Linked DNA regions of Macaca mulatta. The protein of the gene in region 2 purifies or fractionates together with the protein of the main gene of each other region. This does not show direct contact. Links are inferred from orthologs where the notes say so. Each region holds a gene or a part of one and is shown on either strand. Other genes may lie near its edges.

Region 1 (4,608 bases), about 39 Mb from region 2:
TAATTATAATTACAGTAGTAACTAACATTTATAGAGCACCTACTATGTGCCAATCGTCTGATAGGTCTTTTACTTGTATTACCTCATTTAATCCCTTCTCAAATACTGTGCTATAGCTAGCCCTGCTATTTTCATATTTCAGTTCCTGAAAATATGCCTTTCTTGCTTTCTTAGAACTTTTGCACATGCTGTCTCCTGGAGCGTATTTTACCTTACTGTTTCTCAGCCTCGTACCCACCTTTCCTGTAGGAAGTTTTTTCTAGTTCTCAAGATTCTTAGGAGTCCCTGCCAGGGGCTGTCATAGCACACTAAACTGGGACCGTTGAGGCACTTACGCATTATGTAGTAACTGTTTATTTATTTGCCTGTATATTCTATTAGGTGCAAGCTGCTTGAGAGCAGCCTTGTATTCCCAGCATCCATCACAGTGCCTAATACATGGTAGATCCTCAGTAGATATTTGTTGAGTCCATGGGTCTTCAAAAGAACTTAATTAGGTAGGTGTTGTTACCCTTAATTCACAGACGAGGAAACCACCTTGAGGAGGTTAAATAATATGGTCAGCTTCATGTGGATGATAAGCCAAAGAGCTGAGATTTGAACCTGGGCATTTCTGACCCAAAGCCCTTATCACTTGCTGTCACAGCATTTCTTCAAACTACTTCCTTGGCCTTGGAGAGAGCTGGAGAGCCAGCAGCATTAGTCTATTCAAATTTTATGTATAATTTTGAGATTTCTGGATTCCCTGGGGACTCTGCACTCTCAGCCAGCTAAGGAGTCCTTGACAGTGGTTGCTGCAGGTCTCTGTGGGTCTTGACCCATAATTTTCATAGGTTTTTGAAGCTTCAGTATGAGGACTGGCATTCTTCTGTGCCTATTATTTTTTCCCTTAGAGTATATTCCTGCCCTTCCTTTCATCCTCAGTGAGAAGACTTCTAGATTAAAATGCATGGTTTCTACCTAGTACATGTATAGGTGGTGTACATTGGGACACCTTTAACAGTCACAATAGTTGCATATGTCTTTCACTGGAAACCAAGATCATGAGGCAGATAGCGTGAAACTGCTATTTTAGCGTTTTGTGGGATTTAGTTGACATCATTAATGTGCAAACCAGTGTGGATATTTAATATTTTTCTTGAGTCTAATATTTGTTATGTAATATTTTGTGCATATGTCTGTGTACAGAGAAATGTCTGAAAGGATGTTCATCAAAATGTGGCAGTAAGGGGATGATTTTCAAAGTTATTTTTGCAAATTTTTTTTAGGTACATGGCCCCTGAAGTTCTTGATGATTCCATAAATATGAAACATTTTGAATCCTTCAAACGTGCTGACATCTATGCAATGGGCTTAGTATTCTGGGAAATTGCTCGACGATGTTCCATTGGTGGTAAATTGCTCCCCTCTCCCCCAACAGTTTGTCATGAGCAGAAGAAGTTGTTCGAGAATTGTCTTCTTTTTTTATTGAATGAAATTATGCACAATCCATTATCTGAAACAGGACATCACCGAGTGCCAGAGAAAACAAAGGCGATGAAACCTTTGGGAGGGGACAGTGCCATGGTGTGCACATGCACAGCTCTAGCCTAGTGTATTCTCTTCCTGTTTCCATTTGAATCTTGAGACTCATCAGAACCCAAACCCTTGTTATACTGGAATATAGTTCTTTAGAATGGACAGCTGCTTGAGAGGCTCACCTAGGAAGCTGTTTCTAGCATGTACCTAGGTGTCAAATTTATTTTTTTTCTTTGGCATATTTTCTCTTTGGCATATTTTCTCCAACTTGATAGTTATAGATTACGTACACAGAATACAATTATGTTACCATTGTGTTGTTTTCTAGAGTTAGTTTGTCTTAACTTCTAGCGTTTTAGATGGAGTACTTATAATGTTTACTCAGGAAACAGTCTCTTAGGCTTGGGGACCTAGGCTTGGCTGAGACCTTAGTGCCTTAGGTGTTTGAAGCAGTGAGGGACAGAGTATTTCTCTGTATTGTAGTAAATAGGATATATTATTGACAGATGCAAGTAGAGAAAGGGACTTGCACCTTAAACTTGCCTCATAGGATTTGTGTCTCACTGATAGGATCTATATATCCCTGTACAAGTGAGAGCCTGTGCACTTACAGAATAGAATCTCATTTGCTGCACAATAGGGTTCTAGGGGAAAATGTCAGTCTGGTGGTCACAGCTCACAGTTTACTGTCATTTCAAATAGGCTTTATTGATCTCTTGGCAATAGTTTCAAGGTGTGGGCAGAATATCAACTCAGGGAAGTGACTTGTTGATACAGATTTGGATGAGATAGAGAAAGCTGTAATCTCTGTTCCACCTACCTACTTTAGTAATAAGACACTGTAATAGGCCTCTCAGGTGACCTTTTTAATGCCTTGGCATTCGCTGAATACATTTATCAAAATTATTTTTTTTTAAACTGATACAGGAATTCATGAAGATTACCAGCTGCCTTATTATGATCTTGTACCTTCTGACCCATCAGTGGAAGAAATGAGAAAAGTTGTTTGTGAACAGAAGTTAAGGCCAAATATCCCAAACAGATGGCAGAGCTGCGAAGTGAGTATTTCTTTTTGATATTAGGCAATTTTCTAAACTTCTGCTTAGTAAGCAAAAGTTTGCTGCTTTTCTTTAAGGAAAACTTTTCTTTAAGAAGTTTCTTTTTCATAGCAGTCAAACCAATGTGTAAAAACAGAATAATTTGGTTTTCATATTCAGTTGTAAGCACATTGAAAGGGCCGTGGAACATTTGCAGTGGCCTTTAGTGTATCAGAACATAGTTTAGGTCTGTCAGGCGAACTAAAGCACATACTTTTTAAGTGAATGCCTCCCTTCAGCCAGGGCAACCCAGAATAATAGACAGTTGCTGGACAGGAATGAGGAGACCTGTATTCTAGACCAGCCTGACTACCATTTCAAGGGTCTGACTTGGAACAAATCACTTTAGTTCTCTGAACCTTAATATCCCTTTGTAAGGTGAGGAACTCAGATAAGGTGATTACAAAGTTGTTTCAAGTGATTTTCCATTTTATTCATCTGATTGCCCAGATGACCATTAACCAGGAATTTAGGGAAAATGCTTTTTTTCCAGCAGTGTCTGAGCTTCTCAACCTCAGCTCTAACAAAAAGTTTTAGAAATGTTTTTGTAATTGTAAATTTAAAGATTCGTAAGATGAATTTTATTTAACCTCTCCTTAGTTGCTAGCTGTTACTATTATAGTATTGGTGAAGCAGGGCATATTCCTCCGGGTTTGAAGGTTTGTAGCTTAAAAAGGCTATAAAAAGCTGTTCAGTTCAGTAGTTGGTTTTACATCTTAAACTATTATAGGACTCATCAGAACCTCTGATAACCAAGAGAGCTTGCTACCTCCAACAAAATCACATCTACAGGCCCAAATAAAATGTATTTCAGCATGCTTAAGGAATTTGCATGTGACATACTTTAACAAATGAGAGTGCTGCTAGATTTTGTCTTTTAGAAATTTGATCTACTCCGGAGGCTGAGGTGGGAGGATTGTTGGAGCCTGGGAGGTCGAGGCTGTAGTGAGCTGAGGGCATGCCATTGCATTCCACTTTGGGCCGCAGAGTGAGACCCTGTGTCAAAAAAAAAAAAAAAAGAAAAATTTGATCTGGATACTTCAAAGTACAAACTTAAAATTTCAGTGTGAGGTCAGATTTCTTCTTTGCTTTGCCCAGCTCTGGTTTAGGATTCGACCTCTTCAGGTTTGCTAAGTGAGTTACTCTTTGTCTACCTGCTTTCCAGCACTGACACCAGTACCCTATTGATGGAAATTTGTGAAATTTCTACTCATTTGCTATTACAAACAATGCTTAACAACAACAACAAAGTGTATATGTCATTTAAAAAGAAAATTTACAGGTAAAAATTCTTATCCAGACCAATGGAAAATGGTGCATGCATTAATTTTTTTTTTTAATTATATTTTCTTGTAGGCCTTGAGAGTAATGGCTAAAATTATGAGAGAATGTTGGTATGCCAACGGAGCAGCTAGGCTTACAGCATTGCGGATTAAGAAAACATTATCACAACTCAGTCAACAGGAAGGCATCAAAATGTAATTCTACGACTTTGCCTGAACTCTACTTTTTTCTTCAGATCTGCTCCTGGGTTTTAATTTGGGAGGTCAATTGTTCTACCTCACTGAGAGGGAACAGAAGGATGTTGCTTCCTTTTGCAGCAGTGTAATAAAGTCAATTAAAAACTTCCCAGGATTTCTTCGGACCCAGGAAACAGCCGTGTGGGTCCTTTCTGTGCACTATGAACGCTTCTTTCCCAGGACAGTTACAAAATGTTGTGTAGTCTACCTTTATTTTTTATTAACAAAACTTGTTTTTTAAAAAGATGATTGCTGGTCTTAACTTTAGGTAACTCTGCTGTGCTGGAGATCATCTTTAAGGGCAAAGGAGTTGGATTGCTGAGTTATAATGAAACATTTCTTATTATTAAAGAAAGTGATTTGCTCCTGGTTAGTACATTCTCAGAGGATTCTGAACCACTAGTGTTTCCTTGATTCAGACTTTGAATGTACTGTTCTATAGTTTTTCAGGATCTTAAAACTAACACTTATAA
Region 2 (5,048 bases):
GGTTACAGGCGTGAGCCACTGCACCTGGACTGCTTATTCTTAAAACAAAACAAAAGAAAACAAAAAAAACCCCAACATGACAGGAAAGTGTGTCTTAGAAAGTCAAAGTCCCAGCCAGACACAGTGGCTCACACCTGTAATCCCAGCACTTTGGGAGGCTGAGGTGGGTGGATCACGAGGTCAGGAGTTCGAGACCAGCCTGGCCAACATGGCAAAACCCCCTGTCTACTAAAAATACAAAAATTAGCCGAGTGTGGTGGCCGGCACTTGTAATCCCAGTTACTCAGGAGGATGAGGCAGGAGAATCGCTTGAACCCGGGAGGCGGAGGTTGCAGTGAGCCTAGATTGTGCCATTGCACTGCAGCCTGGGTGACAAGAGCAAGACTCCATCTCAAAAAAATGTTAAAAAGAAAGTGAAAGTCCCATAGAGAAAACCCCAGGCCACAGAACAGTGAGAGTGGGTTAAATAGAAAATTCTATTCCAGAATTTTCTCTATTGCATATTGTACATTATTACTATTTTAATGTTGCCGAAATGGAATTATTGTTGTTTGGGCACCTAACAATGTGTCCCTGACATCCATCCATGGCAGTGTTCATATAGCTCTGTCTTCTTGGTGCCTATTGCATGATATTCCATGGTAATTTATTAAGAGTCTCTGCTCATGGACATTTAGATCATTTCCAGTTACTGGATTTTTGTTACAGGTACCCATGGACCACACATCTTTACAGAGTTGGACGAGTAACTCTAGAAGGCTGACTTCTGAAGGTTGATTTGTGAGGGTAACAAGTTACACGCAAGGTACAGTTTTAGGATATTCTTCCAAGTGGTGGCCCCAAATTCTAGACCCATTTCTAGGATGTCGGGGTCACTCCTACCCCCAGCCCCGGCATGGAGATCTGGGTTCCAGGCCCTGGTCCCAGGCTCCCCTCTGCCTTCCATGGGCCTCAGCTTCCCAGACCATAAATGAGTTGGGTTGATGGTCTGTTGTATCTTTGAGCCTGTGACCCCTGGTGCACTGGGACCAGCTCCTACCTGTTCATAGAAGCAGACTGAGACATTTCCAGGAGTTTCTCCAACTGGCTGTTACATAGCTATTACTATATATTTTTAAAAGAGCACGAATGTCCAAACGCATTTCTTCCTAATCGTTTTACACCCCTGTCATCTCTGCTCTCGATGTGATCTGCGCCTGCAGAGACTCTGGAGAACCAACTGCCAGGTGCACTGGGCACTGATTCCCATCCACAAGCTTGGTGAGTTGGTGGCTTGAAGTCAGCCAGGTGGGAGTACTTAAACGCTGTGGAAATCCACAAACGCTACAGACCGAGCCCCCCACCCTGTTGTTAATTATTTACCAGCACACCACTGCCTTTGATCCTTAAAAACCAGGCCCTAAATGTCTGCATGCACCTTTCTGTAATGACCAAGAGGAAGAGAGTGTTACTGCAGCGAGCAATGCGTGGGAGGGAGATCTTGGAGCTTAGGTAGGGGCTTCGTCTTAGCCGTGTGAACTTGGCAGGTTAGAGCCTCCATTTTCTCTTCTGTAAAATGGGGACGATGACGGCAGCCATCTTGCAGGGTCGTTGTGAGCCGCATTAAGAAGGTTTGCCCTATCACACCTTGCTAGGAGCAAACATTTAGGGAGCCTCAGGCTAGGAGTCAAATCCCTGCTAAGTCACTTAATATGTCTGAGACTCAGTTTCCTATCAGTCAGGTGGTGGGCAGAGCTTTGGAGACCTAGAATGAGGGACTCTAAAATGCCGTCAGGTGGGGACGGGGGGAGACGGTGGCTGCCCCACCGCTGTTTTCCTTCCCCTTCCTCCCCACACTCGCAGCCCCCTTCTGCCCCTCTTCCCCCAGATCCATCAGAAAGCCCCTGGATGCGCAGGTGGGTCAAAGGATTGTCCACAGGACCGGCCAGTGGCTTGAGGTGGCCGAGGGATAGGGAGTGGGACGTGGGGCTGGGGGTCCCTGGCTCCTCACGGCCCCTCCTCTTGTCAGTTTCAGAAAGCAGCACAGGCCATGACTCCTTGGAAGAGCCCCCCAGGCTGAGGAGCCCCCACAGAATCCCTAACTTGGCCGGCACCCACTCCCGCACCCTTCCTGGAGATCAGGGAGGTGGGAGGGAGGCAGAGCAGGGCCCTGCAGCCTTGGCCTGTTCGGTTCTAGGAGCTACTCAAAGGCCCTGGGGAAGGTGAGCTGGAGGAACTTAAAAATAAAACAACACAGAAGGGGCCAGTCTGTCAGAGCCCTCTCTGCAATGATCCCTCACCACCAACCTTCTCGGCAGCTGAGGGAAGTCTGTTGTCATTCCCGCTTTGCTCAGAGGCCCGAAGGCAGTCCCCCAAGATCACACCACAAGGAAGTGCCTATGTGACATTTGAACCCAGAGCCAGTGCTCAGAACCCAGGCTATGGGCCCTCCTTCCCATCCATTCCTCACGGGGAAACTCAAGGCCCAGAGAGGGCAGGAAACTCTCCTGTGGCTGCACAGCATTCTAGGACCTAGGCTTCCCGGGGAGTAATGGAACACAGCTGGGTGAGCAGACGCCAGAGACCAGGGTTGAAGTGAAAGAGTCAGCCCAGTTTGCCCGAGGCTTTCCAACACTGAAAGTCCTGTATAATCGTTTAGTTCCAGCAAACTGGGAGGGTCGGTGACCCTCCAAAGCCCCATGGATGACTCCGCTGGGCCTGAGCTCAGGATACAGGAAGGAGGCCGGGAATACTTGGGGCCTGGTCTGTGCACCAGAGGCCGAGTCTCCCCACCCCGGGTCCCTGGACACCTACTTGTGGGGCTGAGGCTGCAGCCGGCCAGCAGCAGGGCAACAGCCAGAGGGAGCGCGCCGCGGTCCATGCCGTCCACGCGGGGTCCTGTGCGCTGGGCCTTATCCGGTGTCCAGAGGCAGGGCTGCGGGTGGGCGCCGGGGCCGGCGTGGGCTTGCGCGGGGACCCGAGGGGAGCAGGCGGCCGGAGCGACGGCGTCCCTGCTCCAGCCTTCTGGGGTGGCGGCCGAGGGGTCAGGAGAAGTGGACACAGGGACGCGGGGCTGGGCTGGGGTTGCTGTCCGAAGGATGGGCGGGGAGGGGTGCTGGGCTCCAGAGGATGGCAGTGACGGCAGCAGTCCTGGCCCCAGGGCGCAGATGAAGGCTGTGGTCTGACCGGCAGCAGGGAGCTCCCGGCTCATCCAGCCCGGCCCAGGGAGGCAGGAAATGCGCTTCCTTAGAGAAGGGGCTGGGCCAGGCCGCCTGCCAACCGGGTAGAGGAAGTGCCACGGGCTTTGTCACTGGGTGGGGGGCCCTGGGATGGGGGGAGGCAGTGGGGTGGGAGGGCCCAGGCTCTAGGCTTGTCTCCCCAAGCACCCCACCCTCCCATCCCACCCTCTCCAAGGCCGGCGGGTGGGGACGCATCAGGCAGCCCCACAGATGAAAACAATCACCCTAACAGCCCACCGAGCGGGCCTTTCACGGGGCTGGGCTTGGCTAAAGTAGTTCCTGTGGAATTTGTGACCCCCTGAGCTCAATGATCCCATTTTGCAGATGAGGAAACAGAGATCCGATGTGTTGAGATCACTGGTTCAAGAAGAGGGTAGCGCTGGGATCCTGCCCACCTCCACCACCTCATGTCTTGTCAGGCACCAAACCCGGCCTACTAAGTGCAATTGACATGGGGCTGCCTAGCAGGCGGGAAAACTGTGGCACAGCAAGGTGGCTACGGCTGGGATCTCTGGGCTCAGAGTAGCTGCCCAGGGCCACACACTTCATATCTGACCCCTTCCTGGGTGGAAAATCCTTCATGGACAAAACACAGCTCCAGGCCAGGTGCAATGGCTCAAGCCTATAATCCCAGCACTTTGAGAGGCCAAGGCAGGTGGATCACTTGAGGTCAGGGGTTCAAGACCAGCCTGACCAACATGGTGAAAACCTGTCTCTACTAAAAATACAAAAATTAGCCGGGCATGGTGACATGCGCCTGTAGTCCCAGCTACTTGGGAGGCTGAGGCTAGAGAATCACTTGAATCCAGGAGGCAGAGGTTGCAGTGAGCCGAGATCAGGCCACTGCACTCCTGCCTGGATGATGGAGTGAGACTCGGTCTCAAAAAAAGAAAAAAAAAGAAAACTCCAAATGATGGGGACTTTAATGGCACTTCTGAAGTCACATGGCCCTGGGTTCAAATCCTACTCTGCTTGCTTGAGCCATGAGACCTTGGACAAAGCCCCTCAATTCTCAGCGCCCCCTGCTTGCAAAGTGGGGTACGATGCCTTCCTGGCTAAGTCATTATGAGATTTCTGAGGGTGAGGACGCTACAGCACTGAGCCCTGGGACATACGGGAGATGCTTCCCCATCAGTGCTCCCTGAGCTGGGTGACAGTCCCCAAACTGTCCCATGTTCATTCTGCAAACAGTAAGCGCACCTACTATGTGCCCACCATGGTGCTACTCAGAGGTAGCACCCAGGGCCAGGCCCATGGAAGCTCAGAGAAGGAAGCCTGGGCCACCTGGAGGGGCTGGCATTTAAGCCTGCCATTTGAAAGACGGGGTGAGTTGGGGGTGGGGAGAAGAAGGGGTGAGGAGGATATGCCAGGCAGGGGTGCCAGACTAAGCAAAGGCACAGAAGCAGGAAGCAGTCGGACCACCGTGAGACCAGCAGGGGTGTGGTGGGGACAGGAAGCTGGAGAGGCAGAGTCTGGCCCTGCATTGGGAGGGCCTCGAATGCCAGGACTTTGTCCTCAGGGCCACTGGGCATCATGGAGAGTTCTCGAGCAGAAGGACGCTGGCAGAGCTGGGCTTTGAGAGAGCAAATCTTTGTGTGTGCTGGCAGGACCCACGGTGAGATGGAGCCAGAAGGTTCTTCTCCCTGGATCTACCTGCCCTGGGTCACAGGTGGAGAAACTGAGGCCCAGGGAGGGAGGAGAAGGCTGGAGCCCTGGGTGCCTCTGGAGGGAGGATGTCGGTCCGGGGTCTGAGGCCAGGCGTCTCCGTGCTTATTGGCCAGCCCCGGTGACAAGAGTAGGCCGTGCGTATGTCTCTGCAGGAGCTGTCAC
Region 3 (4,608 bases), on a different chromosome or scaffold from region 2:
CCACTGTGTGAAAACACTGGGCTTGTCATTTATAAGATGTTGTGGTGATTTCTAATCACCTTCCGATAGTTTCTTAGCCAAAAACATTTCCATTTTAATCTGTGAGAGTGCTTCAAGAGCGGAAGCGCTCACTCAGTTGACAAGTACTTATTTTACTTTCAATGTTCGAGGCATTGTGCTAGGTATCTTGGGTGACCATGTGGATGTAGATTTGGACTTCAGGGAGATCCATGACATTATTAATAGGCCTTCCACGACCCTATTAATACAAAGAATCATACAAAGAAACCAACACAACTACAGCTAATATAGAGTAGAAAGGACTGAGTACAACCATAAGAGAGGGAAAAAATAGAGGTAAAGTACTGACAGTGCTTGAAAAAAGGAAAAAGCATTTGCTGGAAGAGAAATGAGAATTGATCCAGGAGGAAAAAATGTGCTGAATTGGGAGGGATTTGAAGACAGGAGGAGAAATGCTGTCCATTAGCAAAAATGCTCAGGCAGGAGAGAGCAGAGCATGCTCAAGGCAGACTCGGTACTTTGGCTAGATTCTCTAAACCAGCGTCCAGAGTATAGGGCTGTTTGAGATAAGAGCCAGGAGATACAGATCAAGAGGTAGGGTGAGGCCAGGCTCAAGGTAAAGGGAATCTAGCACTATCTCTAACTTACCTGCCCGCTGTTAGCCAGGTCATCCACAGACAGAGTAGGGTCCAGACGCAGGGAAAGCCCAAAGTCACAGAGACAGCAGGTCAGGTCGTTCTTCACGAGGATATTGGAGCTCTTGAGGTCCCTGTGGACGATGGGCATCTTGGGCCTCCCGCACGGAGTGTGATCACTGTGGAGGTGGGCAATGCCCCGGGCGAGGGAGCTCCCCAGTTTGCGCAGGTCCTCCCAGCTGATGACATGCCGCGTCAGGTACTCCTGTAGGTTGCCCTTGGCATGGAAGGCAGTGATCAGCCAGTACTGTTTCCCCAACTCCGTCTTGCGCTCCTCAGCTGTCAGGAACTGGAGTATGTTCTCATGCTTCAGGTTGATGTCTGAGAAGATGTCCTTCTCCGTCTTCCAAGAGGCATACTCCTCATAGGGAAAGATCTTGACTGCCACTGTCTCAAACTGCTCTGAAGTGTTCTGCTTCAGCTTGGCCTTATAGACCTCAGCAAAGCGACCTTTCCCCACCAGGGTGTCCAGTTCAATGGGCAGCAGCTCTGTGTTGTGGTTGATGTTGTTGGCGCATGTGGAGCTGATGTCGGAGCGGTCGTCTTCCAGGATGATGGCACAGTGCTCGCTGAAGTCCATGAGCTTCCGTGGCTTGCCAGCTTCCCAGGATGAGCTCAGCTTCTGCTGCCGGTTAACGCGGTAGCAGTAGAAGATGATGATGACAGATATGGCAACTCCCAGTGGTGGCAGGAGGCTGATGCCTGTCACTTGAAATATGACTAGCAACAAGTCAGGATTGCTGGTGTTGTATTCTGATGGGGAAACAAAACAAGGAGAGAAGGAGTTGGATGTGGTAGGTATGTACTGTCAGGAAGCGGGTTCATGCCCGAACATCTATAGATTTTAGCGTCTGTATAGTTTTTGTAGATACTACATTGTTAATTTTTATTTCAGGGATGCCAGTGCACACTTGTTCAGTCTTCCCTGCCTCTGGCCATCTATTTGACATCTCCTACTCTTCCTTCAAATTTCAGCTTAAATGTCACTCCTTAAGAGAGACCTAGAAAAACTTGGAAAATTGTCTTATTTTATACATTTTCATTGCATCTTATACCTTTCCTAGGTAACAATTCAGTGCAACTTAAATTAAATGACCTATGACTCCACCTCTTGATTTCACGTCTGTCTTTCCCCACTTTCCCCATCCCCCACAGACAGGGAACTCCATGCTGGCAGGGACCATGTCTTCTTCACTACAGTAAACTGCACGTAGCACACGGCAGATCCTCAATACTGCCAAATAAAAAGACAAAGCATTTATTGAGTGTTATCGAAGCTCAGAACATTGGGAACGTGGAAAAAAATGACACAGCTTCTGCCTTCAAAAAATTTGCATGTATGATATCTGGTAAAAACACAGAGCATGCCACGGTTTCCACCAAAATCTTTGCTCTTTTTCAAGCTCCAACGTGTTCTGCCCTGATCAGCATTCAGGCTACCCTAGGCCTATGGGTGACAGGGAGAGGAGTCCGTGGAAAGGATCTCTTTGGACAGGTATCTTACACCACCCACCATTTCTCTTTTCAGTGTGCATGTAAATTGTAGTTTCATGGAACTGAAATATTTAATAGCAACGATGGAAACATTGCCACAAAGGTAAGATCAGTTAACAATGGAAACGTTGCAGTTTTATGACTTGGAATTCCGGAGCAGGCCCCTGTGAGCTGATGAATAGAGTCCTTAGCACCAGATATCTAACTATAATATCTTGTGCTTCAAACTTTGGTTCATATGCTGGCCTTGTTGGCTCTGGTGAAACAGTTTTCCTCTTTGGAAGAAGGACATGAATAGAAACAGACAGTGGACAGGAGACAGCAAAAGGCAGCTCTAGTTCAATGGGAGCTTGTGCTGGGCTGTTTTCATTGGGCAAACATGCCAGAATTCTACTGCTTTATGTGTCATCTATCCGCCCTCCAAAGTACCCATTAATCATGCTCAGATCCTAGAATCATTCGTTAAATATATCACTACTGAGTGTCTACGTTGGGCATGGCACTGCCCTCAGAGTACCCAATAGAGGACTTAGGGCATATATACAAATAAGGAATATATGGCATCTGGGATAGGGGCTAAATGTACAATGCAATCTATATGTTAGTGGAATGTGGAAGAGTTTAGAGAAACATGGAAGGCACAGTAGCAAAAAATTGCCTTTAAGTTGGTCTCTGAAGAATGGGAAAAGTCAGTGATGAGTGGAAAGAGTGCTCTGTTCAGGAGAAAGAATATATGATCTATCTAAGGAAGAGCAATTCTCCCATACTGACCACCCTGCACCTGGGGAATAGAAAGGAAAAAACGGGTAGGTGGTAGGGAAACAAACTCCATGTCAGAGAAGGATCTTTTGATTATTCAATTGTCCGTTTTCACCTACAGTAGGTGTTTGAAGAGAAAAAAAAAAGAAGTGATGAGAATATAGTCTAGGTGGAATGAGGATACAACCAAATTCTCTCGAGGGGAACCTATTACCTAAATGGTATTGATAAAGGAGTTAAGAAGAAATTACTTGGGCAGATAGTAAGGGTATGGGAGTCCAAGGTAAGGCTTTTCGTTTTAATGAAAAGCAGCCCCAAATCATTTGCTAACAAACAGCAGCCTGTAAAGTCGAGCTTCAGACACAGGCAAGCTGGGAGCTTGCACGGGTGAATGCCGGCAGGAAGTAAGGAGATGTTCAAGACGGTGGCTCCATCTTCCCTTCTCTGTCAGCCATGTGTACAGTAAAGAGCAGACAAGATGGTGCTGATCAACTGGAAAGTCCATTTGCATAAGATTAGGGTGGGGTGACCAGTCCTCCCCATGCACTATGTAAACGTCATACCTGAATGAACCAATCTGTGAGCCCTATGTAAATCAGACACCGCCTCCTCAAACCGGACTATAAAATCCAGCACATTCACCGCCAGCCCGTCGTTTCTGCTTGGAGACCTCTTTCTCTATAGAGAGTTGTTTCTCCTTCTCTTCTCTTCTGCTTATTAAACTCCTCTCCTAAACTCGTGTGTGTTCATGTCCTAAATTTTCCTGGCTCACGATGATGAACGCCAGGTTATATACAGCATCTGATACTTTCGTGTTTTTTTTTTTTTTTTTCCTGAAGATGGAGTCTTGCTCTGTCACCCAGGCTGGAGTGCAATGGTGCGATCTCTGCTCACTGCAACCTCACCTCCTGCCTCAGCCTCCCAAGTCGCTGGGATTACAGACGTGCACCATTACGCCCAGCTAATTTTTTTTTTTTTTTTTTTTTTGTATTTTTAGTAGAGACGGGGTTTCACCATGTTGGCCAGGCTGGTCTCGAACTCCTGACCTCATGATCTGCCTGCCTTGGCCTCCCAAAGTGCTGGGATTACAGGCGTGAGCCACTACACCTGGCCCAGAATCTGATACTTTCATTTAACAAAACACAGTGAGAAATGAAGCTAGTATATATCAATTTTTAAGGTTTAATATGATTATTTGTTCTTAAGGTAAGTCTAAGTAGAAATGCCAACTTCCACTGACTGTATATTCTAAATGAAAATCTTGGGTCTAGTAACCAGAGAAGTAACCCCAATATATCAGAATTCCAGAAACCAAGAGAAAAAAAATTAACATTTTTTGGAAAGATACATGAATGCATTTAAAAAATATAGGGAAAGTGAGAAAATTTGGTGACTGACCCTTAAAAACATAAATTCTTACTCACACTGGGAGGCTTGGGTTGGGATAAAGAACAGGCAAGAGTAGGGCAGAAATGGGGTGGGACAAAGCAATTCCAGAACGATTCAAATGCAAAAGAAAAAAAGATGCTCTTGTGGAGATGTATGGACTGTCCCTGTTGTCCAGCAAAGTATAAACCTGGAGAACAAAATTAAGGGGGCAGACGAACTAATGTTCAACCACAACAGCCGATCCAGCAGT
Region 4 (4,608 bases), on a different chromosome or scaffold from region 2:
CTCACCATGGACAGCCTCCTCAAAGGTTGACAATGTTCCCACCAGTGTAGAAGACCCACCCATCCTCCATCCACCCCAGGGTTGAGAGAGCATCAACCACAGGGCTGCCCGGGGCAGGTCCCTCTACCTGCCGCAGTCCCTCTAAATCAGAGTCCCCTGTGGCAACCCACAGTAACAACGAGGCAGCAATAAGCAGGCAGTGCAGGCACTCACATGCATTGTGTGCATGAAGAAATCAAAGGCCAGAGAGGTTTAAGTGCACACAGTGATGATGAGCACTGGCCCTGGAGCAGACTGGCCGGTTTCAGACCCTGATGCTGCCTCAAGCCCGCTGTCATTCTGTGCCCCCATCTCCTCAACTGTACAATGGGGACAATATGAGGTCAGGCACTCATTCTATCTACAGCAATAACGGCCACTAATATTTAGCTCTAGATATTGTTCTAAATACTTAGATTATCTCAACAACTGGAAGCTATTTTTATTCTTTCTTTCTTTATTTATTAATTTTTTTTTTTTGAGAGAGGGTCTCACTCTGTCACCCAGACTGGAGTGCAGTGGTGCGATCTCGGCTCACTGCAACCTCTGCCTCCCAGGTTCAAGCAATTCTCCTGCCTCAGCCTCCCGAGTAGCTGGGATTACAGGCGTGTGCCACCAGAGCTGGCTAATTTTTGTATTTTTAGTAGAGACAGGGTTTCGCCATGTTGGCCAGGCTGGTCTCGAATTCCTGACCTCAGGTGATCTGCCCGCCTCGGCCTCCCAAAGTGCTGGGATTACAGGCATAAGCCACCGCCCCCATTTTACAAATGAGGAAACTGAGGCACAGAGAGGCCAAATAACCTACCCATGGTCATGGCAAAATCAGCAATAGAACCCAGGAAGTCTGATTCCAAGCCTATGGTCTTAGCCACTAAGCAATACCACTGCCTTGCCCATATCAAAGAATCAAATAAGATAATACATGTAAAGTATATAGCATGGCATCTGGCACATATTTAAGCTCAATCAATGTTAGCTGCTATTAATATTTCTGTTATTATCACGTACAAGATTTCACAGCCAGACTCACAGACCCCGTTATCTGTTTTTAAGGTTTATACCTTAAAAGGTCACTCAGCTGAATCAGCTGGTGGGCTGCATGGAAAGGGTGCCAGGAGGTCTGGCTGCAAACCTCCCAGGCCATGGGCACTGGCCATGGCAGGAAGCCCCTGGCTCCACGGGCCAATTGCCCTTTCCCTACCCTGTGTAGGGTGGACACTCACCGTTCACGATGGTCCGGCGGGCGATCTCCCACAGCACCAGGCCAAAGGCCCAGATGTCAGTCCACTTATAGGACTCAAAGCAGTCCGTGCGGATCTGCTCATCCAGCACCTCGGGTGCCATGTACCTCTTGGTGCCTACTCTCGGGTTGTTGCCGATGTCCAGGTAATCGCTGCCCTGTGAGTGCATCACAGCCAGGCCTGTGGGGGTGAGGCCTGTCACTCCTGTCCCTCTCCCTGACCTGGGGTCCAGGGGGCAGGCAAGGTGGGGACTGAGAGAAGCAGTGGGACAGAGAGGGGGAGGCAGATGGAGACCTGCATGGAGATGGGCTGGAAGACAGTGACCACAGAGAGAACCACCGCCCCAGGTACTCTTTGCTTATGTAGTGCTCTTTAGGTTCTCAAGAACCCAGCGAGATGTGAGTGGGCAAGGCAGGCATTATGATGCCCACTTCATGGAGCAGAGCCGGAGGCTGGTGCCGGGGAGGGATATAGTTAGCGAAGCCAGGAATGAGAATCCAGGTTTCTGGCTCCTGCCTCCTTTCTCCCAACTCCTGGAGCCAGGATGGTATGGTGGAAGGAGTCTGGTTTGAAAAGGGTGTTCAGACAACTCATGCGGTCTTGCAGAGGAGAACTGAGACAACATGCACCTCTGTTTTCAAGCGCCCATCATGGTCACCGCCCATAGGCAAAGGAGAGGAGAGAGCACGAGCTGTGCCCACCTGTGAAGGGTCTGCCCCTGCCCTGCCCAGCTCACCCAGGTCAGCAATGCAACACTGCAGGTTGCTCTTGACCAGCACGTTGCGGCTCTTGAAGTCACGGTGGGCAATGGCCGGTTTGCCCTGTGTACCGAAGATCTCCACGTGCAGGTGTGCCAGGCCACAGGCTGCGGACACAGCTAGCCTCAGAGCCAAATGCGGCTCCAGCGTCTGTCTCTGCAGAAAGTCGTAGAGGGAGCCGTGCTCGTGGTAATGCGTGATGAGCCACAGCTGCGTGCTCGAGTTGCGGGAGGTCATGTCTGAGGCGATGAAGCCTGTGCACAGAAGGGTCGGGTGACTCAGCCAAGGGGCTGGGGCTAAGGGAGGCTGGAGTGGTCAGGGTCAGGGTGGGGTCGGGGGAGAGGGAATGGGCTGGGTCACTGCTAAGCAAGGTCTGGGGTGGGGGTTGATGTGGCTTAGGTCAGAGACAGAGCTGGAGTCAGAGGTTGGGTCTGGGCCTGGCTTAGTGGCTTGCACCTGTAATCCCAACACTTTGGGAGGCCAAGGCAGGAGGATCGCTTGAGCCCAGGAATTTGAGACCAGTCTGGGCAACATAGGGAGACCTCGTCTCTACAAAAAATAAAAAAGTTAGCTGGGCATGGTGGCACATGCCTGTGGTCCCAGCTACTCAAGAGGCTGAAGTGGGAGGATCGCTTGAGCTCAAGAGATTGAGGTTCCAGTGAGATTGCACAACTGCATCCCAGCCTGGGTGACAGAGCGAGGCCCTGTCTCAAAAAAAAAAAAAAAAAAAAAAGAGGTTGGTGTTGCAGGTGGGCTGGGAGTCCTTCAGGGTTCTGTTAATGTCTGGAGGTCTGTGAATTCGAGCCCTGAGTGCAGGAGGGCAAAGCCCCAGGCCTGGCACAGCCGGCCCCTCCCCTTGCCTAGGATGTTGTCGTGTCTGAGCAACACTGTGTTGTAGATCTCAGTCTCCCGGAACCAGGACTGTTCGTCCCTCGAGGAGAAGATCTTGACGGCCACACTCTCACCGTGCCACAAGCCCCGCCACACTTCGCCATAGCGGCCTTTTCCTGATGGCCAGAGGGGAAGGTGAGGGTTACACACTGGGCACACAGAGCCCTGGAGGAGCCCCTTATCTTGATGCTGTGCTGCCTCCCTCGCCCACCCCACCCACAGAACCCCTGACCCTTAGGTTTAAGTTAATCCAGACCCAAACCCAGCGGCAGGCCACCCCCAGCTGCCTCTCGTTCCACCCCGGTCCTGCAGAAAGAACCTAGCCCTGGCCCGTCTCCAGCCCACTCCCTGCCCAGCAGAATTCCAGTTCTGACCCAGGCCTGGCACTGCCTGTGATTCCGGAAGCCAAGAACTCCCTCACCCCTCAAGGCTCATGAGAGCCCTTGGTCCTCATCCACCGGGCTCACCCACTGCTCACCCACACACTCCACCAAGGCAACCTGCCGTGCCACTGTCCTCTGCACCAGGAAGGGGAGCCCCGAGCCACTCCCTGTGGTGCAGTCACTGTCCAGGAGGTCCTGGGGGTATGGAGAGTCCACTCAAAAGCTGCCCTAACCAGCCGCAGCCCCATTCTCCATCCTCAACCTGGGACCTGCTGGGTCACTGCAAGCTCCTCACTCGCCCAGCTCCCCACCGGCTCTACTCTCTGGATGACCCCTCTGATTCCGCAGTTGCTATCTGCCCCACTCCACCCTGTGTCCCAGGTCCCCAGGCCCATACCCCCAACATGCTGTCGCCCTGCTCAGATGCTTTCAGGATGAGACTGGACTCTCCCAGCTCGCTGTGCAGGCCCCGCTGCTTCTCCTGCCTCCGTCGGACATGCCACAGGCCCACGACACCCAGGGCCACCAGGGCCAGCAAGGCCAGCACGGGGCCCAGGATCAGGGCCAGCTGGCTGTCTGTTCCCGGCTGCTCCGAAGGAGTTTGGGTGGCTGGGGGAGGGGACATTGAGGCTCAGCTTGCACTAGGTCAACTTCCCCCATCTTGGGCAGACCATTCTGCCAGTTAAATCCCAGAGTCTTGCCCGCCCCCCCGCCCCCAGCCCCTTTATTGGCCAGAGCATGAGAGGAAAGGAGGGAAGGGAGGGCAGGGGCTGAGAAGATGGGGAGGGAGTGCTGGGGCAGCTGGACGTACCCTCCAGCACCAGGGACACGTTGCGGTTGCAGAGGTGGCTGTCACAGCAGTAGTGGTTGACGAACTCGGTGGGGCGCCCCCTGCAGAGCTCCCTGTGCAAGTTCCCGCAGCCCCGATGTTCCTGGGGGTGCCTCCCCTCCTCCCGCACCAGCACTACTGTGCACCAGGCCCCCTGGCAGGTAGGCCCCCTGCAATGTGGGCTCTCACATGTGCAGGTCACCAGCGGGCCCCGAGAGGGCTTCACGGGGTCACCTGGGAGACACACCGGAAGCTCAGCCACTCTGGGCCCAGCTCCCCCAGGCTGAGCCTGACACCCATTTCTGTCCCATTGTCCCTCTCGTCTGACCCCCAGACAAACACCTTGAAGCTTTGGTCCCTTACTTCCATCCTCAGTCATCCTTCCCTCAGAGCCCTCCCCTCAGGGCAGCTGACACTGAGAAGCAGGCTTCTGTCCCCTCCTGGCTCCTAGGTTCTCCCCTCCCAGT

What was found. Proteins that work in one complex are often made in the same cells at the same time.
Region 1: the proteins of ENG (region 2) and TGFBR1 purify together in Homo sapiens (affinity purification with western blotting; 5 studies listed by BioGRID and IntAct, with this or other methods). This does not show direct contact. The link is inferred for Macaca mulatta from reciprocal best matches to the Homo sapiens genes ENG and TGFBR1.
Region 3: the proteins of ENG (region 2) and TGFBR2 purify together in Homo sapiens (affinity purification with western blotting; 3 studies listed by BioGRID). This does not show direct contact. The link is inferred for Macaca mulatta from reciprocal best matches to the Homo sapiens genes ENG and TGFBR2.
Region 4: the proteins of ENG (region 2) and ACVRL1 purify together in Homo sapiens (affinity purification with western blotting; 3 studies listed by BioGRID and IntAct, with this or other methods). This does not show direct contact. The link is inferred for Macaca mulatta from reciprocal best matches to the Homo sapiens genes ENG and ACVRL1.

The regions. Positions count from the first base shown.
Region 1 is NC_133420.1:59,257,849-59,262,456, reverse strand, and holds part of TGFBR1 (TGF-beta receptor type-1), read left to right. Parts: intron 1-1,268; coding exon 1,269-1,393; intron 1,394-2,445; coding exon 2,446-2,576; intron 2,577-3,971; coding exon 3,972-4,097; 3' UTR 4,098-4,608. UniProt on the Homo sapiens protein: Transmembrane serine/threonine kinase forming with the TGF-beta type II serine/threonine kinase receptor, TGFBR2, the non-promiscuous receptor for the TGF-beta cytokines TGFB1, TGFB2 and TGFB3.
Region 2 is NC_133420.1:19,845,307-19,850,354, reverse strand, and holds the start of ENG (endoglin), read right to left. Parts: upstream 3,163-5,048; 5' UTR 2,861-3,162; coding exon 2,794-2,860; coding exon of another isoform or gene 2,713-2,793; intron 1-2,712. UniProt on the Homo sapiens protein: Vascular endothelium glycoprotein that plays an important role in the regulation of angiogenesis. Required for normal structure and integrity of adult vasculature. Regulates the migration of vascular endothelial cells.
Region 3 is NC_133407.1:17,876,138-17,880,745, forward strand, and holds part of TGFBR2 (TGF-beta receptor type-2 precursor), read right to left. Parts: intron 1,470-4,608; coding exon 670-1,469; intron 1-669. UniProt on the Homo sapiens protein: Transmembrane serine/threonine kinase forming with the TGF-beta type I serine/threonine kinase receptor, TGFBR1, the non-promiscuous receptor for the TGF-beta cytokines TGFB1, TGFB2 and TGFB3.
Region 4 is NC_133416.1:59,095,623-59,100,230, reverse strand, and holds part of ACVRL1 (activin receptor type-1-like), read right to left. Parts: intron 4,376-4,608; coding exon 4,124-4,375; intron 3,922-4,123; coding exon 3,710-3,921; intron 3,508-3,709; coding exon 3,408-3,507; intron 3,046-3,407; coding exon 2,899-3,045; intron 2,293-2,898; coding exon 2,017-2,292; intron 1,461-2,016; coding exon 1,263-1,460; coding exon of another isoform or gene 1,241-1,262; intron 1-1,240. UniProt on the Homo sapiens protein: Type I receptor for TGF-beta family ligands BMP9/GDF2 and BMP10 and important regulator of normal blood vessel development. On ligand binding, forms a receptor complex consisting of two type II and two type I transmembrane serine/threonine kinases.